Kluyveromyces lactis: one gene and its partner. The protein of the gene in region 2 binds, or shares a complex with, the protein of the main gene of each other region. Links are inferred from orthologs where the notes say so. Each region holds a gene or a part of one and is shown on either strand. Other genes may lie near its edges.

Region 1 (6,069 bases), on a different chromosome or scaffold from region 2:
AAAAAAGGCTGCTGAAGAATTGGATATTGAATTAGATTCAGAAGAAGAGGAAAAGGACCAATTTTTAGCTAGAAACAAAACCAAAAAGTTGAATAAACAGTTGGAAAAGAATGAAAATAAGGCTCTAAAATACCAGCTCAACGAGTTATTAAAAATGCCACTAAGAAAAGATTTAAGAAAAAGCTATCTAACAGGAGGTCTGACCAATCTCGCTGACACTTTAGTCAAACATAAAGGTCACAATTCCATTATTGGACATGATAAAGTGGATGCATTGCAAACACTCAAGGGCAAGAAGCATAAATGAAGCCCTTTATCTGCTATAGAGAAATAAAAATAGGAAAACATATATATTCCCAATACAACAGTCGTTGTCGGAGTGTGAAGAATGTTTGAATTGCATGAAAAATATGTAATGTCTTGCAAATACAACTTAATCAAATATATCTTGGTGATACTTATGATAAAGAAAAGAATGAAAAGAAAGATATATATTTATAAACACTATTTATACATCGCTTGACTGAAGAGGTTTAAATGAAATCGTAGTCATCATCATCTTCATTTTCATCATAATATTCATCATCTGAATCTTCCATCAATTGTTCGAAGTTGACTTTATAACGAAGTAGCGCACCAATACCACCGAAACCAGTAACGAATTGAGCACCTTCAGAGGATTTATCGGTAATGAATTCTAGATTGGCACCGTAGTTTTTGTAATTTTCCGCAAGCCATTCAATTAATGGTTGTTCAGAGACCAAGTCCATTTCTGCTCCGGTAGTTTTATCAAGAGAGTATGATTTGTCTTGTTCCTCTGGTTCGACGAATTTTAGTACTTCTTTATCTTCAGAGTCCCTGTATACATATCTGATGGTTTCTAGATTTTCAAAAACAATCAAAATTTCAACAGCACCCAAATCCAAAGCCTTTAGAGTATCTTCGATACCGTAGCAGTATTTACCAGTATCTTGAGAGATTTGATCGAAATATTCGGTAATCAATTTCTTTTCTTGAATGAATTTAACATTGGCTAAGGCTTCTGCAGATAGTTCGATAGCTTGGTTGAAACCGTTTTCACCACCGTATGAGATATCAACGATCTTGACGATCTTAGCTTGCAATCTTTGATCGAACAATTCAGATTTGGCCAAATCTGTTTTGAAATCTGCAGAACCAGCCAAGATTAAACCTTTAACGTTCACCTTATCGTTCGTAATAAAATTTTGCACAGCAACTTCTGCCACTTTTCTGACATAGTTATGTCTCTTTTCTTCTCTTAAACGAGCAAAACGAACAGCGGATTGACCACCTCTACCATGCTTCTTTGGTAAATCAACAGTGAATTTATGCAAAACTGTTCTTGTGTTACCAGTCAAAAGACCGAACAATGCACCTTGACCATCCATCACGATGAAACCGAATTTATCATCTGCTTCTAGCAATTCAGAAAGAACCTCTGTGTGGAACTTATTGTCACATAAGTACAAAGAGGTGTTGATTGGTTTATAAGGTTCAATGTCAAATGTAACCTTCTTTTCTTTACCTTCTTCAGTTATCATATCACCACAATATAGCACCAAACCATTAGGTGGGATCTTAGTGTATAATTTTAGCTTTTGTTGTGTGGATGTGATAGCAGAGAGCACTGACAAACGGTTGACTCTCGATTTAATATTGGAAGCAGTACCATATTCATCAGTCAACATCTTTTGAATCATAGAAATTTGACCCTTTGGTGGAATGACAAGCGAAATCATAGAGGTACCATTACCCCTAGCCTTCTCTAGAGACTTGATCAATTTCTTGACCTTCCAGATCTCAATATTCTTCTCAGCATCAGTCTCCATTGTTTCAATTGCTGTACTATAGGATTAAGCTATTAGTTATATCTTCTTACCGGATTCTAAATCAAATAAAGATCGAAATACTAAACCTAATGAATATCGTTGATGGAACTAATGTACAAATGAAGCAAAAGCAAACTTGTACATATAAATTAGAATCCCATCTCTCTTTCTCTTAGACCATATTTACTAGTAATTTGTAACGTATAAGTTCTACATATTTTTCTCTTTCAAAAGTAACTGCACTCTCGTCGATGCAATACCAAATTTCAAAAATTTTCAGAATTCTTGAAAAGAAAGAGGATGCCGTTACCCTGCATCGCCGCATACGGTCTTGACTTTAAAGAGATAACCATTAAGAGTTTGTATGTAGAAGGAAATACTTAATCGTAAATAGTAGTAGAAAAACCATCTTATCTCGTAAAACAGTAAGTTGAATAAACTGCACGAACGTCGTCGCTAGAATATGATGTGATCTGGTCCAGTGCAGTTGTCAAACACAACAGGTGAAAACACCTTAACAAAGAAAAGATAAAACAAAGTAAAATATAATAAAAAAGAGGATGGAGTAGGGGGGGTCAACCAGGATGACATGACATGCTACTAGCAGCATTGGGCCAGAGAATATTTGTCTTTCATGTGATCATGCAATTGATCAGTTATGATCAAAGTCCGAATCACTTAGTAAATCGTACTCTTCAGAGAGCGACTCAACGTAGACGAGATCATTGTTTTCATTGTCTGCCTGCGCTGTATTTTCTTCTTCTTCCTCTTCTTCTTCCTCTTCTTCTTCTTCCTCCTCCTCTTCTTCTTGATCCGTGACTGAAGAAGATATAACATCAGTATCAGATTGTGAAGGGCTAGTTAATGTGTATTGAACATCAGGGTCTTCATCTTCGTTGCATGGTATATTTCTGCGATCACCCATTGGGAGCATCTTACAGACTGGAGGTTTTAAATGGAATACCGATGATCCTGGTACCGTGCTTTGTTCTGTGGTATATACCACTTGTTCTCTGACATCAATGAGATCAATCTTGCATGGTTGCTCAAAGCTAAATTCTTCCAATGTGCCACGGTAGTTAAAGTTCAAAATTTTGTAGTTACCTGGCTGTAATTCGTCTGGACCAACTTGTAAATTGCATTTAATCGGGGTTGCCACTCTGCCTTTCTGTTCGCACTGGAACACTAATTTTAATCCATTTGGAATTGTTTCGTCACCATCATTAAAAAGTTTAAATGTTAACAAATGACCTTTTTGGAACATCTCTACCCTTAATGAAGGATTTGATGACCCTTGAGTATTCATAGTTGCCTCATCGGAAGACTCATTCTCTCGCTCCTTCTGAGCGTTTTCTTGCATCATATTCTGATACCTCTCTAATTTCTCATAGATGTCTTCTCCGTACCACTGCTTTGCAATTCTCCAGCTGATGGCATCTTGCATTAATTTCTCCAATTCACTCTCTGTTTTGATTTCAGCAAAGAAATCAAACATTGCCTTGTTCTGTTGTCCAACTTCAATGATAACATCGTTAAAATCATGCTGCACATTAGCAGCTGGTACGCGAGGAGAAGAGTTTCTAGGTGATGCTTTGTCTTTTCCGTAAAAGCCTTCAACCTTAATTTCAGATGGCAATGGTTCTGGATTATATCTAGGTGGAGCAGGAAACTGACTGTACCTGGATGTTGCAGGGACTTGGTAATACCTTGATGGAGCAGGAGCCTGATTATACCTAGATGGAGCAGGAACTTGGTTGTACCTAGATGGAGCAGGCACTTGATTGTACCTGGATGGTCTCGTAACTTGCTGATGTGTGCTCTTCAAGTAGTCCGAAGTAAACGATTTCAATTTAGCATCGGGTGTGACAACCTTAACGAAGTTATGGTAGGATTTGTGAGTACCCGAAGTGAATCCCTTCTTTTCGCATTCGCTGCATAAATCATAATCGTGACAGTATAAGCAACAAAATCTGGGCCCCTTGATGAACCCATTTTGATCTGCGGTTTTTGTATTGACAACACGGATTCCATCAGCCGGACCTTGGCACCCATCGCAGACTATTCCCTCATGAACAGTATCCTCAGAAGTTGAACTGTTAACATTATTGCCTCTAATAGATAATTCGAGTTTTTCTAACGATCTGATTAGTTTATCCCATTGAGATGATGGGATGGACATTTTAGTATCATTTCCATCTGTGATCGCATCTGTGATGCTTCCAGCGTCATGAGGTTCATAGTGATTTTTTTCAGCCACATCGATGTACAAAGTTCCCACTGTTAGAACATCATCCCAAATGCTTTCAAGGTCTTTGTAATTACGTATCGGAGTTCTTTCAGAAGCCGTTTCATTTACTTTGGCTGTTACCGCATATGAATCAAAAATATTCGTTGATTGAAACAAGCTAAGGCCTATTTTTCTCAAAGCCACCATATCAGGGCTTGATCTGGCTTGAATTACTTGACGAGAGGATATTCCCTTTGGACCTGTGAAATGGATATCCACCTGATGACCATAGTAACTATCATAGGACATTATTGTTGAGTAAAAAAGGTGTTGTTCGGATCTTTGAAAAGTCAGTGATTAAGTGTATTGTAAAACTAACTCTACAGTGGCAAATATAACTTGAATAATCTGTTACCGACCGTTATATAGTCTTCTTTAAATGTGATACTGAGTAGAAGTAGTCAAAAACCCCCTTTGCCTCCCCTTTTATTTCTTTATATATATTTCTAGATCAGGGGAAATACATAATTTATCTTTTTTATCTCCTTGAGATTAGGAAAATTCCAGGAATTCCTCGGTTTGAAGACAAAAAAATAAACTGTTCTTAATTGCTATGGTAAAGCAGAACTATAAACTGACACTGGCAGCAGTGCCTCGTCAAGAGGGGTTTCCAGTCAAAGTATTAATGCTTTTCGAACCTCTGAAACTTGAAACGGTAACTGCCAACTTAATGCATTACTTTGGATCTTGTTAAGAGTGTGTAGAGATTATTAAAGTATTAAATTGAACTATAAAAAACTATTATATTAAAGATGGAAAAGGAGAAGAAAGTAGAGAGTAGAAGTAAAGAAATACAAGTAGACATTCAATACCGTATTATTTCGTGATGCGGAATAATCCAGCTTTTTTTACCCATTATTTTAACTTATGGCAATTTCACTTTTTGGCAATCATTTCGTAGTCTGGAGGACTATTAGAGTATGTTGTCTTACCCGTCTCGTCATAACCAGCGAAATCATCTCTAACATCCACACCACTGGCAGATGCAATGGATATTTGCTGATGGGACAATCCCATAGGATCTCTTGCACACCATATAATTGGTTCCTTCTCTCTAACACAAGGCTCGGTGAAGGCGGTTTCCAAGTACTCCAAATCGTATCTAATGACGTCATTGAAGACATAAGGTAGAGTTTGCCTTACAATAGCGAAATCGTAGTACTTCTGAGGTTGGAAGAATAGCTTGCAACGGGCCACGATACTCTTTGGTCTGATCAGATCGGATGGTAAACCGAGTTGCTCTTCTGGTGCATTTATTGGGTAACCCTTAACATCGGAGATAACTTGCCCAGCATCCGCGCGGTTGACAATGATGTTGGGGTCTCTTTCTTCCTGGTGAACTTCTGGTGGTGGAATTTGTGGAGGTACTTTTGTCTTATGGAATTGTTCTGAATCGTTGACAAAGGTGCTTGGATTCTGTTTCGAGCTGCCCGAAATAGTTCCGTTACCATTATTGCTCTTTGAATCATTTTCAAGAGAATCTTCATACTCATCAGGCAGCATGTTAACTCTCTGCAAATCTTGTTTTGTAGTTTCTTGGAAGACCCCATTTCTATCTTCAGATAGAATGTTTTCTGCAAGTTTCTTACCTTCGACTTGAATTTCGTTCAAACCTTGATCCTTGGCTGGGTAATAAGAACCTTCTTCACCTCTAGCGTATCTGATTGCGCTCAATGGAACTGCATCAAACAATGGAATAAATCTTCTCTTGAAGTAAATATGGGCAAGAGCAGTAGCAGCCAAGAAGACTGCTTCCAAAACCAAAGGACCCCATGTCTTGGCCATGATGAAAAGACCAATTAGACATATTTCAGCTAAGTACAATCCAACAAATACTTGGAATAATGCTCTTGGATAGTTCCTACCACGTAAATCATAGCTGAAGCTCATCACATATGTCAAATTGTACAAATAGGCAAGGAAGAAGAAACC
Region 2 (9,443 bases):
GATCTTAACGCTTCAAAAACGAGCAACGAGTCAATTTCTACCGAAGTTCCGGTTGGCGCTGCTGAGGTTTGTTCTAGGGACTTCAAAGTCCTTTCTATATCTTTCTGACAACTCGTAAGTTTCTTAAGTTCTTTGGATTTCATTATGGATTCCAACGTTGATTTTACAAACAAAACAACCGATTTAATGTTCGCGTTATTCATAGATACAATTGACGCATTTCTAGCATGGGCCGCTCCCTCGGTGTTACTATTTACAGTTTTATTTGCTGATGGAGATGGCGTCACATCAACATCAGGCACATCAGGGGTGTTGTTCTCCACGTTCGCATCAGCGTCGGTTACCGAATTCACATTGATATCAACAGTCGTGGTCGAATCTAGGGCTTGTATATCACGTTCCTCAGCAATTGCTGGGTTCGTGCGGTCCACAGGTTCTTCTGACATGTTTGGCAATATTTCTTCGACAGCACTGCACCTTAGTGTGTATATAATCACCTCCGTAATCGTTCCACCAAATACGATATTATGTATACTTCTTTCTGAATCTCATTTAATTTCAGATATTTTTTTTCTTTCCTTTTAAGGTGGATGGCTGGCTCCGTTTTTCCCCTATAATAGGAGAATTGGCTTGAAGATCTGCTCTCTGAAGTCTTTCTGAAGTATAAGTGATTAAGTAAAGCAGCTGAATGATGTTACCAGAATGTTCAGCCAAGAGGCAGTGATATAAACCGTAGATACTTGCTACAGGAAATGGATCTGGAAACTTAAGTTTAGTTCTACATTGTATAATTTTATAAGCCTCTTCTGCTGTGTCGAGCACGTGATTTGTTGATCACGTGATTAGAATCATCTATGATGAGAATTATCTATTGGAGTAACCTCTTTTATAGCACTTCATAGCCCACAAAGGGACGCCAAATTTGGTATATTCTGGAGCATTTGTAATAATTTCCAAACTTACAATCTGAATTTACTTTTCATATCTCTACTTTGAGTTTGGGACCTCAAATCTCCGTTGGCGACCTTAGTGATTGAGAATAACAACCTAAAAACAAGTAAACAGATTGCATGTATGTCAATTAGTGCGGTTAACTAACACCTTCATGTGTAAAGCATCTATCTACCCATATGTATGTATACATATCTCCATAGGAGATATTTAGTCGTTGTTTTCCCTGTTTAATACTGGCGGTGCTGACATAATATGCTGTACCATTTTCCTCCGAAGGAAATCCGTCGGAGGAAAATTGACATGCGTCAGTTAGTGAAACAAAAACGTAGATAGCGTGTGATTAGGATAACAAAAAGAGGTACGGGAGATAGAAAACGGAAAGCTCGAGCGATTTGTATAGTTTCGAGTGCATGGGAGCCTAGTTATCTTTGTGTAAATTATTACAGGATATATTATCCTTCAAAATCTATAAAAGAAGAGCGTTTGTCGAAGAAGAAGAACTTAGTTTGGATAAGGTTCAATTAAGTAATGCATATAGTAAACACATCTATAAGTATCAAGATTAAATCAAAAAGTATCAATCATTAAGGATATTGTGAAATTATCAACTAAAGATGAGTCCAATCGCCGTTACCCGTAAGGAAGTAGAACAACACATCAAAGCGACACCAGTTAATGATGTCCTTTTAACCACCTACCCAGAAGATTCCTCTCCTATCCCATTGAACTGGGGTGCTGCTGATTGTCAAGAAAGGGGTCCTGTGGTTCCATCAAGAAATAAAAGTGGTATCTCTAAACACAATTGCATCGGTGCTCATGCTGGTCCATACTGCATCTATAATGCTTTGGCCATTGGTTCAAACCAGTTAAAACGCGACCATATTCCAGACTATACCAACGCGCAACCTGTGTTTACAATCCCAGAACAGCCATCATGGTTTAACAACCGTGATATTGTATCGATGGATCCTTTTGGTCACTTAACACCTTATTTGTTTGATGATGTTGCTAAGTCTGCAAACGTGGATATCAGACCAACTATTGCCATCACCAAGGCAACCATGCAATTGCTTGAGTTGAAAGAGGCCGTTGATAAAGGCGAATTGAAAATCGACGGTAATATCATTGTCAACTCTAACGGTGACCTAAGTGTTTCGAAGATTGCCGTTGAACCTGTTTGGTATTTACCAGGGGTCGCTGAAAGATTTGGAATCACTGAAGAAGAGTTAAGAAAATGTTTATTTGAGGATACAAATGGTATGTACCCAGAATTGATCACTAGACCCGATATCAAAACTTACATGCCTCCAATTGGTGGATTGACAGTGTATATTTTCGGTAATCCGCAAAACATTTCCAATCCAGAAAAGAAAATCGCTTTGAGAGTTCACGATGAATGTAACGGTTCCGACGTCTTCGGTTCTGATATTTGTACTTGCCGTCCATACTTGATGTTTGGTATTATTGAAGCAGTAAAGGAGGCCCAGAATGGAGGAACTGGTCTTGTTATTTACTTCCGTAAAGAAGGGCGTGCACTTGGTGAAGTTACCAAATATTTAGTATACAATGCTCGTAAGAGAGGCGGTGATACCGCTGACGAGTATTTCCACAGAACAGAATGTATCGCTGGTGTGAGGGATATGAGATTTCAACAATTAATGCCAGACGTCCTTAAATGGTTAGGTATTTCCAAGATCGATAAGATGTTGTCCATGTCAAACATGAAATATGATGCAATCGTTGATCAGGGAATTGAAATCGTCGAAAGAATTCCGATTCCAGATGAAATGATTCCTCCAGATTCCAGAGTTGAAATCGATGCTAAAATCAACTCAGGTTATTTCTCATCAGAAAAAGCACCAACTAAAGAGGAATTACAATCAGTCCATGGGAGATTATGGAACGATGTGTGAAATTTTCGTTAGCTCATGTTCTCCGGATGTTACTTAACTTAAAAAAAATACCGAAACGGAACTAGACTTTGACCTCCCAATGATAAATAAGTGGATGAATACCACATGCAATATTTTGTTACTATTTTGAAGCCAGTTAATATATGTATAGATTTTGTATGTTTTCTATTGGCAAGCATATCATTCTGGAATGATATGAATGCCGCAATTCTATGAATACCTTTTTTGATAACATCTACTGACAGAAGAATGTATTTATAAAAATAAAAAAGACAACTGAGCACCGTTCGAGCAAGCCAGATGATGCTACATCAACTGCGTAAAGAAAGAATTGAGCTCATGAGGACGAGGAATCACCTATAGATGGCGTTTTGAATATACAGCATGAACATCAAAGACTTTAAGAAACTAAAACGTCAAGCTGCTGGCCATGAAGGACCATTAACGGATCCCAATGAGATGCTTCTGTTCAAACCTTCCACGAAACAAGAAATAAAGTTTTATGAACACTTGGCCACCAGACATGCAATAGACAACACGGATGACATTCCATTACAGGACTGGACACCTACATTCTTAGGTATATTGCAAGAGAATAAAGAACAGAACAAAGACTTTGACCAAGAAAGAGTAATAGAGAGACTGAACGCGTGTTCCCCCACAAGTCTAACTAGTAAGTCACAAACCGATGGAAATGTTTACTTAGTTATGGAAAATCTATTGCACGGATATGTACGACCAAACGTATTGGATATCAAGTTAGGACATGTTCTGTGGGATGATGCAGCAAGTGAAGAGAAAAGAATAAGATTAGATGAAGTAAGTAAGACATCAACTTCTGGGACTTTAGGGTTTAGAATATGTGGTATGAATATCTTAAAAAACACAAATGTCCAAGAACTACACTCGAAGTATTATGAACCGGAAGATGATGGGTATATTTTTGTCAATAAATATTACGGTCGTGAGTTGACAGCTTCGAATGTAACGGACGCATTTGATTTGTACTTTGGCGATAATAATCTTTCACTCCAAAATCGTAATGATTTGATTCACATGTTTTCAAAAAGGCTTCAGCTTTTCTATAATACGCTATTGAATGAAGAGGTTCGCATGATATCAAGTAGCCTTCTATTCATATATGAATGCGATACTACTCGGTGGATCAACTTCTCTCAGGAACAAGAATTAATACCGTCCCATGTATCATATGATTCGGATGAGGAAGGGTCCATTAAAGATGGACAGTCAAAGGAGAGCATATCAGGAAAGACAGAATTGAGTCGCATGTCGATAATAGATTTTGCACATACCAAATTTACCCCAGGATTAGGAATAGATGACAATGTACTTGACGGGGTTGAAAGTCTTATAGACATTTTTGAAAGATTAAAAACTAAATATACAATCTAGACTAGACACCTAGTAAATATGCATTGTGATATGGATTCATAAAAACCGAGATCAATTTTCAAGGATTTTCACAATCTTACCGATAGCAATGGTGGTACCTTGATCTCTTAAAGTGAATCTACCCAATTGTGGGTAATCATCGTATGTTTCAACACATACCGGTTCATTAGTCTCGATAACGGCAATGATCTTCATACCCTTTTTAGCAAATGCTGGAGGCTTCTTTGATTTTCTGTTTGACCCCTTCTCAAGCTTGTGAAGCAATCTTGTGACGGTGACTTCTTCGATAGCTGTATGAATATGCATAACGCACGAGAAACCAGCAGACATGATCGATTTCAATTCGACAATAGCAATTTGAGCCACAAATCTCGTTACATTCTTAACTGGGTTTTTTGGAGAGGTTAGAACGAAACCAGCAGAAATTTCTTCTTCTTCGACACCTTTAATTCTTAATCTAACCTGCTCACCACAAACAGCCATGTCAACTTCGCTTTCAGTTTCGTTATAAATGGTCAGAATTTCAACAGAGGTCCTGTTAGGCATTAGTAAAGTTTGGTTACCCTTTCTAATGTGTCCAGATTCGATTTTACCTTCCACAACAGTACCCATGTCCTTCATCTTAGAAGCAATTGGAAGCATGAATGGAGCATTGATATGACGATCAGTAGTCTTCATATTGTCAAGATATTCTAATAAAGATGGACCAGTATACCATGGACAGTCCTTAGGATCGACACGTTCCTTCAAACCTGCACCTGTGTAACCAGACACTGGCATGAAAATGACGTCCTCCTTAACATTGTAACCCACAGCCTTCAAAAAGTTTGTCAAGTTACCAACACAGTGATCATATCTTTCCTTATCCCATCCCACAGTTGGATCATCCATCTTGTTGATAACTACAATCATTTTGTTGACACCTTGTGTCTTGGCTAATAAAGCGTGCTCACGAGTTTGACCACCCTTTTCGAAACCAGTTTCATATTCACCCTTTCTAGCAGAAATAACCAAAATACCAATATCGGCTTGAGATGCACCACCAATCATTTCAGAAACATACATTTTGTGACCGGGAGCATCCAAAATAGTGTAACGTCTCTTTTCAGTTTCAAAGTACGCTCTACCCACTTCAATGGTTTTACCGTCGTTTCTTTCTTCTTTGTTGGTATCCATCACCCATGATAAATACCAACCTTGTCTACCAGCCTCTTTAGCCTCTCTCTCATATTTCTCAACGGTTCTTTTATCCACAGAACCAGTCAGATATAACAAGTTACCACCCATTGTTGACTTACCAGCATCGACGTGACCCATGAAAATGATGGAAACATGATCCTTACCACCAAACATATCTTTAACGACTTCTTCGTCAACCTCATCTTCTTGTTCCTTGATTAGAGCATCCACGGAGTTCGCTCCTCCTGTAGATGTGTCTGCCTTAGCGCTGGTAGTCTTCTCTGAGGAAGTATCATCAGCAGATGGGGTATTCTCCTTAGTTTTTGGTTTTTCAGCCTCTGAGATTTTCAAATCATCAATTTTGGGCAATTCAGATTGTGCTTCTTCGTTGTCGTCGGTAGTTTTAGTTGCTTCCTTGGATTCATCAGTTTTCTCAGTTTTGGGTGCTACAGGTTTCTTGGCACCTACTAACTTAATACCAGAGCTAGAGGCCAACTTTAACTTAGGCTTTGGCTTGGCTGCATTAGTACTGCCTTGTTGGTTTTGGAAATCTTTCAAAGTCATACCCTGGGATGAAGACTGTGCTGGAGCAGCGTAACCGGTTGGCTGTTGTGCATTATATCCTTGAGCACCTTGATAACCCTGCTTATTATAGTTATTGTAACTGTTTTTATTATTATAATTTTTATTGTAGTTATTGTTGTGACCGCCTTGCTGAGCGTTGTAACCTTGTTGCTGAGCATTGTAGCCCTGGTAAGGTTGGTAGCCTTGAGCTTGTTGAGGGTTGTAGCCCTGGTAGGCTCCTTGAGGCTGCTGTCCATAAGCTTGATATGCTTGGTAGCCTTGAGGAGCACCTTGTTGGCCGTTGTAGCCTTGATAGCCCTGTTGGTTGTAGTACTGGTTGTACTGGCCATATTGGTTATACTGATTGTAACCTTGGCCTTGCCCTTGGTCTTGATTTTGTTGGTCTGACATGTCTACTAGTAGATGCTATAGACCGGTACCTTGTTCCAATTTAAGCTTGCAAATAGAGGGCAATTCGCTGATGGGAGGATCATGATGATCATCAGTAACGCTTTCTTACACTTTTCGATCTTCTCTATCAAGCTGTTTAAAATTTTTTGCAATTAGCGATGATGTAATTTTATACGACTGCATATATTCCTAAATAGACTAACACCATTGTAGCGCCCAATACGTAATATGGCATCAATAACCTGGTGCAACCGTTCCGTTCTTCCTCTATGTAACTGTATAAAATGAGGGTGCTGGTATTCGTGTAATATTAATATTATACATAAGCGATTACTAAACATGAGATCTTATTTTAATTCATAACAATTGTTCATATAAATGTTTGGCTGAACCAGTTTTCCAATGTGAAGCCAGGGATGATTTCATAAATTGCGAGGAGCAGTCTCAAACACAAGTTCTTCATCTGGTACATCTTCTATTATAATTCTTTTCTTTGGTTGTGGTTTATTAGCATCTTGTGGAATTTTTGGGACTTTGATTTGAAGCAATCCGTTAAAGTACGATGCTTTAATCTCTTCATCTTTAATTCTCGGTAAAACGGGGAACTTGACAGATCTTTCAAAATCACCGTATTTCAATTCTGAGATCTTCACGTACTTTTTATCAATCCCGATCTTGTTGTCGACAGCACCTTTGATCAGTAACTCGTGCGATGAAGGATGGAAATCAATTTTAAACTCCTTCGAGTTCGCACCAGGTAATGCCAATACAACAACGTACTGTTCGGGAGTATCATAAACGTTAACTTCTGGAGAAAATGGTAGATCAAGTCTCAATTCTGGGTTTGAAACTTGCAAAGGTGCAGGAACCGGAGATCTGAAACCGCTGGGCTCGTAAGCTAGTTTATCCTTTTGGTTTACGTCCTTTTCGCTGTCAACGGAGGAAGTAGTCTTATTCAACTTTTGTTGTTCCTCATTATTGTGCATGTTATAATCTTCGTTGTACTCGTCAGAAGCGTCTTCTCCTTGCTCTGCTGTTTCCTCGTCTATTTGCTGATCATTACGTTCTTTTTCTTCCTCGGAATATTGATTTGCAAGAGCTTCTTCGGCTGCCGCAAGAGCAGCGGCTTGCTCCTGTTCATCGTTTTCTTGTTCATCATCAGTTGCTTGTCTCTGACTTTCTTCATCAGCATCCCCTCTGAAAATGTCGGAATTACCACCGGCCAAAGCACTCAAAAGAGCCCCAACTACATCATCACCAGATGTTGGTCCAACAGCCCTTCTAGAAGCTGTTGTTGGAGCACCGGTCCTGCGAACAGTACGGTGTGGATGGTAATGCGTGGGTCTTCTCTGAGGTTGAGCATCTTCATTTGTGTAATAAACTGGCTGGTAGTAGGATGCGTTTGGAACTGAATAGTAATAGCTGCCAGGAACGTAGCCCTGTCTTCTAGCGGCAAAAGGGTCGTATCTGTCATACCCTTGATTAGCAGCTCTTCTTTGAGGTTGTCTTCCACCGTAGATATTATCTTCATAATCACCTCTGGCGCCAGCCTTGTTAGTTAATGCATCTAGAACGTCGTAAAGGGACAAAGATGGTTGATAAAAACTCATAATGGAAAGGGTTGATATGGTAATATGTATAATTGCACTCAAAGGCTATATCCGTCCTTCCTTTGAATAAACCGCTAGAAAGCTGTTTTTGCTGTTACTAGGATCAATTTGAACCTATAGGTAGCAATATACCAGACAATCACAAATTACATCAAATTGGCAATGGCAAATCTAGGGATTGCCACCGAAGAATTAAACCTTTTATACCTTTTTTCTCCCTTAATAATGCGTGAATTTAGCCTTTTTTTTCCTTCAGTACCAGTAGAAGATCGAAAAGTCTAGTAATATGTGGAACGTTAGGGAAGTTCATAGAAATAAAGTTGGAGGAGACAAAAAACAAGGCTGACATATAGCCGTAAGAGTGGCGACCAGCAACGAATGGCTTTGAGGCTTGAAGGATTCCTACGATAACCAATATAGCGCATCTTTTGGTCTCAGTACTATTGTCAAAAGGATGCTTCTTATTTATGTATAGGTTCATGTTTTTTCTCGGAGTTTGTAACGTCAATTTCCAACCTATCTTTTCGTCCATCAGCACATACAAATTTCATTGAGCATAAATTTATGTAGGAAATGAGATATAATGCAGGATATGTTCCTTAATATTCCCAATTTCCGATGCACGTACACATTTTAGTTGGAGTTTCTGGAATAATTCGTGAGGTACCGAAGCAAAACAATGAGAAGCTTTTGTTCATGGACAAATGAATAAAGTTTTGTCCTTAACAGTCACGCAAGAGAGTTATGTCGCCGTAACGTAGGTTTTTTGGAGCTTAACGTATGGTTTTCAAAACTAAGTATTTCGCGTTCACATTCTAATTTGCTATGTGATCGGCGGGAAGACTTTCGCAGTTCAATATGGGTCTTTCAGTTCATCGTACATTTTGTCGTAAGATAGACTGAAGACAAGCCAGACGAGAGGTCATGTGAGCTAGCCAGCACACGACAGAGTTCCAAGACGTCAGTGACTGTGCATATGGATCCTGTGGTATCCAGAGGGGATGGCCTAGATGGATCATAGACGGCCACGTGATGGTCTTGAGTGCGCGTGGAGGACAGTAGCTGCACAGGACCTACAAGGGCATGGAGGCAATGAGTTGCCATGACGAAGTCTGACGACCATGCGAGTATATAAGTCGAGTATAAAAGGCTGAGCTATGTTGCGACCTCTTGGGGAGGTTGGATGCAACAAGAGAAAGAAGAAGCAAGGACGCATATACTCAACGATCTAGCTAAATAGATTATTATATTATAATCGTTGTATTGTTTGATATCAACGATCCCTCATCAGGCGATTAATCAATCAACTATCATCCAAAGCATATCACAAGAACTTTTATTATTTGGTTGTATAGTGTAGTGGTTATCACTTTCGGTTTTGATCCGAACAACCCCGGTT

What was found. Proteins that work in one complex are often made in the same cells at the same time.
Region 1: the proteins of SUP35 (region 2) and SUP45 are in contact, whole or in part, in a crystal structure (PDB 3E20), measured with the Schizosaccharomyces pombe proteins. The link is inferred for Kluyveromyces lactis from reciprocal best matches to the Schizosaccharomyces pombe genes sup35 and erf1. Residues at the interface, in NP_588225.1 of Schizosaccharomyces pombe: Ser571, Ile572, Leu573, Thr574, Thr575, Gly576, Tyr577, Ser578, Met611, Phe612, Asp647; in NP_594680.1 of Schizosaccharomyces pombe: Gln285, Phe288, Ile291, Ser292, Tyr298, Phe300, Gln396, Met399, Gln400, Lys403, Gly404, Phe405.

The regions. Positions count from the first base shown.
Region 1 is NC_006039.1:961,305-967,373, reverse strand, and holds SUP45 (translation termination factor eRF1), read right to left. Parts: upstream 1,851-6,069; coding exon 534-1,850; downstream 1-533. Other genes in the region: MAK5 (ATP-dependent RNA helicase), read left to right, coding at 1-307; ATG19 (Atg19p), read right to left, coding at 2,503-4,386; PHM7 (Phm7p), read right to left, coding at 5,014-6,069. UniProt on the Schizosaccharomyces pombe protein: Component of the eRF1-eRF3-GTP ternary complex, a ternary complex that mediates translation termination in response to the termination codons. The eRF1-eRF3-GTP complex binds to a stop codon in the ribosomal A-site.
Region 2 is NC_006040.1:1,482,624-1,492,066, forward strand, and holds SUP35 (translation termination factor GTPase eRF3), read right to left. Parts: upstream 6,435-9,443; coding exon 4,332-6,434; downstream 1-4,331. Other genes in the region: Arf family guanine nucleotide exchange factor SEC7, read right to left, coding at 1-446; KLLA0_D17380g (uncharacterized protein), read left to right, coding at 1,569-2,867; ARG82 (inositol polyphosphate multikinase), read left to right, coding at 3,252-4,280; heat shock protein HSP42, read right to left, coding at 6,857-8,044. UniProt on the Schizosaccharomyces pombe protein: GTPase component of the eRF1-eRF3-GTP ternary complex, a ternary complex that mediates translation termination in response to the termination codons.